Macaca mulatta: one gene and its partner. The main gene of each other region encodes a partner of the protein of the gene in region 2 in a complex. Links are inferred from orthologs where the notes say so. Each region holds a gene or a part of one and is shown on either strand. Other genes may lie near its edges.

What was found.
Region 1: NDUFAF1 (region 2) and TMEM126B share a complex: the UniProt entries of both Homo sapiens proteins name them as parts of the mitochondrial complex. The link is inferred for Macaca mulatta from reciprocal best matches to the Homo sapiens genes NDUFAF1 and TMEM126B.

Annotation. Positions count from the first base shown.
Region 1 is NC_133419.1:86,224,881-86,228,530, reverse strand, and holds part of TMEM126B (complex I assembly factor TMEM126B, mitochondrial), read right to left. Parts: intron 3,586-3,650; coding exon 3,464-3,585; intron 2,284-3,463; coding exon 2,090-2,283; intron 705-2,089; coding exon 593-704; intron 344-592; coding exon 160-343; 3' UTR 1-159. UniProt on the Homo sapiens protein: As part of the MCIA complex, involved in the assembly of the mitochondrial complex I. Participates in constructing the membrane arm of complex I.
Region 2 is NC_133412.1:18,746,469-18,750,218, forward strand, and holds the start of NDUFAF1 (complex I intermediate-associated protein 30, mitochondrial), read right to left. Parts: upstream 2,665-3,750; 5' UTR 2,218-2,664; intron 2,176-2,217; exon of another isoform or gene 1,917-2,175; intron 1-1,916. UniProt on the Homo sapiens protein: As part of the MCIA complex, involved in the assembly of the mitochondrial complex I.

The DNA of each region.
Region 1 (3,650 bases), on a different chromosome or scaffold from region 2:
TTGATTGAATTATTGAATATTTTTTGAGTATTTGCTATACCAGGCAAAAGGCACAGAAACAAATTATCTGTTCAGTTACTTTTAACTCTTTCAGCAATGCCTGAGTCCTCTTTATAAAAACTTCATTCTGCTAAGTGAGCAACCATTCATTTTTTTTGGTTACTCTTCATGTATAGTTTTCTCAAGTGTCCCTTCAAATATTGCATAATGGTATAGACCATTTAATATTCCAAACATAGTCTGAAAGACTAGAGGAATCACCATTAATTTCATTTGTGTTTGACAAAGCCTTATCCAATGGAGTAAAACCCCTCCTTTTGGTGGCAGTGGAACGGTATGATACCTAAAAAGAAAAAAGAGTTAATCACTTCTTCTGGATATGAATGCTATTAGAAGTTTGTTGACTTCTCCTAAACTGATAACTGCCTTTCTAGGTCTATAATGTAGAGAGCAAAAAATTAAAAGTTAGCTATCTGAAATACCAAATGACCACATTTTGATTCAAATATATCATAGACAGCTAAAGAAAAAAGAGAGTTTATTAACCTAAAAAAAAAAAAAAAGTAAAAAAGAAGGAAAAGGAACAACTTACTTAGTTGCCAGACGTCCATTTTTAGTAAAAGCCAAAGAACTGGGATAGAAAACACCACAAACTATGCCGATCAGTGAACTTCTGAAAACACAGTTTTCCTTGCTTATATTTTCTGGAAAACAAAAGTAAATTTGGTTTTCCTTTAAAACTCAAGAACTATTAAGACAGTGTTGTACCTCAGAGTAGTTATCTGCACTATCCTCAACCACAACTAAACCATAGAAAGAATATCAGAAATTCAAACTCTGTGGCATATAACAGGCTAAATGCAGCACATTTAAAAAAGTTTTTATTGTACTTTATCACATAGAGAATTACCTCTAACATATGTGGTTGTTGTAGAAGCTATTTTATTTTTTAGAGACAGAGTCTCACTGTGTTGCCCAGGCTAGAGTACACTGGCATGATCTCGGCTCACTGCAACCTCTGCCTCCAGGGTTCAAGCAATTCTCATGCCTCAGTCTCCCAAGTAGCTGGGATTATAGGCGTGCACCACCACACCCAACTGGTTTTCTATTTTTAGTAGAGACTGTGTTGGCCAAACTGGTCTCGAATTCCTGACCTCAAGTGATCTGCCCGCCTTGGCCTCCCAAAGTGTTGGGATTACAGGCATGAGCCACCATGCCCAGCCAGAAGCAATTTTATAATGACAGAATACTAAACTAGCAGACCAGACCTGGATTCTAGGTTAATACATTTTTATTATCTACTATGTATCAGGAATGTGCTAGGTGCTAGGAATACAGTGGTATATAAAAGACACCTGATCTCTGATGTTCTGGCCAGTTTACAGTAATGAAAGACATGAGATAAATATTTAAATAATTATAAGTGTACACAATACTTTGAAGATAAACTATATAGAGAATGTATCTAGACACCTAATGTACAATGAGGGAATCAGAGGTCTCCCTGGGGAAAAGATACTTAAGCAGGGACCTGAAGAATGAATGATGGATAGAGGCTCTATCAATTACTAGTTGTGAAACTCAAGGTAAGGTGAAGGGCAGGAAATAACATTAAAAGCCCATAATATGACAGATATTGTGGTAGTCATTTAACCTACAGTATCTTTTAATTCTCACAAAATCCTGTGAGGTGAGTACTATTAGTCCTAATTCATAGATAAGACAAGGGAGGCTCAGAGATGAAATTACTTGCTGAATGTCACAAAACTTAAGTGGCAGGAGGTAGGATACTGAAATGATGTTTGTTATATGCCACAGTCAATTCTTTTCCCAGTATGTTGTTTATTAGTGTACTTGAACATGCCTCAGTTTGGGTTGCTTGCTTATCTACAAAAAGAAAAAAATACGATTTACCTCATTAGGAGGACTGTTGCAGGGATTAAATACGACAAGGTATATGAAGGGACTTTGTAAACTGTATAGCACTATATAAATGTAAAGAATTATTATTAGCAGTAGCAACAGCATCTGTTAATCAGTAACTTTACTTAGACAAAACTACATTATACATTAGTGAATTTAAATTCACCTGAATACAAAGGATCAATTACAAGAAGCTTGTAAGTAACTACAGTAGACAAAAATGGAAGTGTAGCCAATGATGCATATGTTTTCAAAGCATCGTGTTTAACCTTGAAGCAGCGTCTGAACAGAAAGTTTGAGAATATTCCAGAGAAACCAGCTGTTGTTCCAAATGACGTCGTTTGATATATATTTGGTGTCCTAATAGAAAAAAAGAAAAATTCAGTTCACTGTAACATTGAACTTAATGGATACAGCCTTTCCTAAAAAGTTGTTATTGCATATTTACTCAATATGAAATACTTCTTGAGCACTTACTATGTGAAAAGTATTTTCTAAGTGCTTAAGATAGGGCAGTAAACAAGGCAAAAGAAAAAAAGAAAAGGAAAGAAATTTCCCACCCCTCATAGAACTTGTATTCCAATGAGAGGACATGATTCTCTTTCTGAGAATATTTACAGTAGTTCTAAAATAGAGCTCTTTTAAATAATTTTGGTCACAAATAAATATAAATATGCTCCAATGTAGCCAAATTTTATGAGTTACCCAAATCGAAGAATACCTTTCCTGCAACTAAAAGATTTACTTTGCTTAAGTTCATCTAAAAAAAAGCTATTTACATTTGGTTAGGCCTTCTATTTCTGCATTAGTCCCAGATACATTTAAAATAATTTGTCCAAGATTTAGAAAATTTCATCCAAAAAAATCTGATCTAGTTTTCTTATTCTTGAACTCCATTCATTTAAACGTCAAAATGGCCAGTCTGGCCAACATGGTGAAACCATCTCTACTAAAAATACAAAAATTAGCTGGGTGTGGTGGTACACGCCTGTAATCTCAGCTACTTGGGAGGCTGAGGCAGGAGAATCACTTGAATCTGGGAGATGGAGATTACAGTGAGCCGAGATTGTGCCACTGCACTCCAGCCTGGGTGACAGAGTGAGACTCTTATCTCAAAAAAAAAAAAGTCAATATGTTAATGTGAGACTGTATTTATACTATGAAATCTGTATTCCCTTTTGCTGTACTAAGTACTGTGGCTGAGATAATCAATCCTTAACTGATTATAATTACTCACCAATTAAATATAAGTACCCCCCCAATGATTTTCTCTTACTTTTAATTAAAATATATTTACTGCACAAATGTTTTAGCAATACTTTTGGATACTTTTTAAGAAACAAAAGAAATTATCCACAATCCCAAATATTCCAACAAACCACTATTTTCATCTGTTCTTGTTTCCCTCATTCTTTTTTTTAAGGATGTGTTCTTCATAACCAACTCAAAGAATAGGATAACAAAGAATAGGATCTCAGAAACAATGGCAATACAAAAGACTTGCAAATAAAATGATTTTCAGCCTGGGTATTTCTCTTACATTTCTTTTCTAAGATAGTCAAAATTTTTTTCTATGATTTCTATGATCATTGGTCTTCTGAGTTTTGCATCTTCTAGAGAAGGACTGGGTTGACCATGCATAGATGCTGTCATCTTGACATCCTGGAAAAAAAAATTCCAGAGCCATAATAGCTAATGATATTCATATTACATAAAACCTTACAGAA
Region 2 (3,750 bases):
GTAATCCCAGCTACTCAGGAGGCTGAGGCAGGAGAATCGCATGAACCCAGGAGGTGGAGGTTGTGGTGAGCCAAGATCATGCCATTGCACTCCAGCCTGGACCACAAGAGCAAAACTCCATCTAAAAAAAAAAAAAAGATAGAGATGAGGTCTTGCTAGGTTGCTCAGACTGGTCTCCAGCTCCTGGGTTCAAGTGATCCTCCTGCCTCAGCCTCTGGAGTACCTGGGATTACAGGCATGAGCCACTGCACCTGATGAATACTACTCCCAATACTTTTTTTTTTTTTTTTTTTTGAGACAGAGTCTCACTCTGTAACCCAGGCTGGAGTGCGGTGGCGCGATCTCAGCTCACTGAAGCTCCACCTCCCGGGTTCACGCCATTCTCCTGCCTCAGCCTCCCAAGTAGCTGAGACTACAGGTACCCAACACCACGCCTGACTAATTTTTTTTTTTCTTTTTTGTATTTTTAGTAGAGACGGGGTTTCACCGTGTTAGCCAGGATGGTCTCAATCTCCTGACCACGTGATCCGCCTGCCTTGGCCTCCCAAAGTGCTGGGATTACAGGCGTGAGCCATAGCGCCCAGCCCACTCCTAATACTTTCAAATCACCCTGATATATATTATCTCATGCCATCCACACACAAATCCTATGAAGTCAGGTAGATATTTCCTTTCTATAGGATACAGACACCAATAGGTAAAATGACATTATCCATTTTTTTTTTTTTTTTTTTTTTTGAGACAGAGTCTTGCTCTGTCACCAGGCTGGATATCTTGGCTCACCACAATCTCCGCCTCCTGGGTTCAAGCAATTCTCTTGTCTCAGCCTCCAGAGTAGCAGGGATTACAGACCGGCACCACCATGCCCGGCTAATTTTAATTTTTGTTTTTTGTTTTTTTTTTCAGTAGAGATGAGGTTTCGCCGTGTTGGCCAGACTGGTCTTGAACTCCTGACCTCAGGTGATGCGCCCATGTGGGCCTCCCAAAGTGCTGGGATTACAGGCATCAGCCACCACGCCCGACCTTCTTTTTTTTTTTTTTGAGATGGAGTCTGGCTCTGTCACCCAGGTTGGAGTGCAATGGCACGATCTTGGCTCACTGCAACCTCTGCCTCCCGGGTTCAAGTGCTTCTCCTGCCTCTGCTTCCCGAGTAGCTGAGATTACAGGTACCCACCACCACGACCAGCTTTTTTTTTTTTTTTTAAGACAGAGTCCAGCTTTGTCACCCAAGTTGGAGTGCAGTTGCGCGATCTCGGCTCACTGTAACCTCCACCTCCTGGTTTCAAGCAATTCTCTTGCCTGAGCCGCTGGAATTACAGGTGTGCGCCACCACTCCCAGCTAATTTTTGTATTTTTAGTACAGACAGGGTTTCACCATGTTGGCCAAGCTGGTCTCGAACTCCTGACCTCAAGTGATCCGCCCACCTTGGCCTCCCAAAGTGCTGGGATTACAGGCGTGAGCCACCGCGCCCAGCCGACATTATCAATAAGGTTTGCTAATAAATCAAAATCATGTAAACAGTATGTTTTCACATGTATTATAAACGTAAAGGAACCAGGAAAAATTAACAGTTGATCTGAGATCCTGCAATTATGGATAATATTTAAATTCCCCCGCGCCGGTTGCACTTAAATGATTTACACATTTAAGTTACAAAATTATTTACCTCTACACATACAGAAATTTTAGAAACAAATGATAGCTCATAAAATATTTTGCAAACCCTCCGTAGTGTTATTTCTCTAGTAATATAACTTTAATTATAAATGCTTTGTTTCATTTTTTTTTTCTACCAGTAAATAGAAAATCTAACCTATTAACTGAACAATACCGCCCTGAGGTTGACGGTGGGTTTTGACAACATAATCCACGCAGCTAGAAGTGAGTCGAATTAGTAAAGATATCCACGGCTTACCATGTGCCAGAAACTGCTCTAAGGGTTTCACTGACGGCTCACAACAATCCTCAGAGAGGAACTATTATTATTTCAATTATGGAGACGAGGAAACCGACGTTCCAAGACTAATTTACCCGAGGTCACTGAGGTAGTGAGTGGCAAAACTCTTCCGCCTTGGCGTTTACCTCCGGCACTCACGGCCTGGCCTCCGAAGGCTAGACCTTCGCCGCGGTGGGGAGGCCCCGCAACCCTCAACTGCCAGGGCTCTGTCGCCTCCCCACACCCGGGACACATCAAACGCCGACCTACCACCGCTTACCTCCCCGAGCCTATAGTGTGGTTTCCAACCAGAAGCCACTTTTCACTTATAGGTCCATCTGTTTTTCCCTTCCGATGCCAAACAAGGCGTCAGAACACTAAAGTTCCGGCCGGGTACAGAAGCCCAGGAAGGAGAGCGAGGACCCGGTAGTCCAGCCAACAGAGGTTTTTGGAGGTTTTTGGTCCACTTGGTCGCCAGTTGTAAGGAAGTAGTGAGGATTCGGATAAGTTTTTCGCCTCTCCTTTCTGTATCCTTTCGGGCGGCAACTCTATCTCTGCGTCTTTTTTTTTTTGAGACGGAGTCTCTGTCGCTAGGCTGAGTGCAGTGGCACCGTCTCGGCTCACTACAACTTCCGCCTCCCGGGTTCGAGCGATTCTCCTGCCTCAACCTCCCGAGTAGTTGGGATTACAGGTGTACGCCATCAAGCCCGGCTAATTTTTTTATTTTTAGTAGAGGCGGGGTTTCACCATGTTGGCCAGGATGATCTCGATCACCTGACCTCGTGATCGACCCGCCTCAGCCTCCCAAAGTGCTGAGATTACAGGCTTGAGCCACCGCGCCCCGCCTCCTATAGAACCCAGTTATTGCTAACGCACCTGCGCCCCCACTTGGCGCCTGTATCCCTTCTTTCCTTATCTGTCCCCTCAGTCTCCACAAGAACTACCTGAGGCCTCAAGAGGCCGGTTCTACTGGAATTGCCCCCATGAATTCTTGAGGACCCACCATGCACCTGGACAGCAGCACCTCCTACCAGCCCTTCCCCAGTCCTGCCCCACAGGGTCGCCAGTTCCTCAGGGCATCTGTTTGTACCTTGTGCACACCTCTGGTAAAGCACTTTCTTTTTTCTTTTTTTTTCTTTCTTTTTTTTTTTTTTTTTTTTTTTTTTTTTGAGACGGTGGAGCCTCACTCTGTTGCCCAGGCTGGAGTGCAGTGGCGCGATCTGCAACCTCCGACTCCTGGGTTGGAACAGTTCTCCTGCCTCAGCCTCCCGAGTAGCTGGGATTACAGGTGTGTGCCACCACACCCGGCTAATTTTTGTATTTTTAGTAAAGACAGGGTTTCGCCATGTTGGCCAGGCTGGTCTTGAACTCCTGACCTCATGATCCACCCACCTCGGCCTCCCAAAGTGCTGGTATTACAGGCGTAAGCCACCGTGCCAGGCCAAAGCACTTAAACATTGTTTGTTTGGTTTTTTTTCTTGCTGCCAGGGAAGACAGAATCAACACTGTAGCTTAATTATTCACTCACTTCTCACTTCCTCCGCCACGCTGTGAGCTTTCTTGGGTCCAGACTGCGCTGTTTTTCCTTAACCAGAATGTCCCATAGCGGCGGGAATTTAGTGCTCAGTGTGAATTTGAGAGCATGTACTTCAGTAACACCTTTGTTCTCTAAGGTTCCAAAGGAGCTCACCAAATACAATAGCCCTTTCCATGTTTTCTCCATCACTAGTTTCTGGGCCGCCTCCTCTTCCTCAAATTCTGCTTGGCTTCTCTAGACTCTACAGTTGCTTCCTCAAACCTTCCCTTTCTGCCC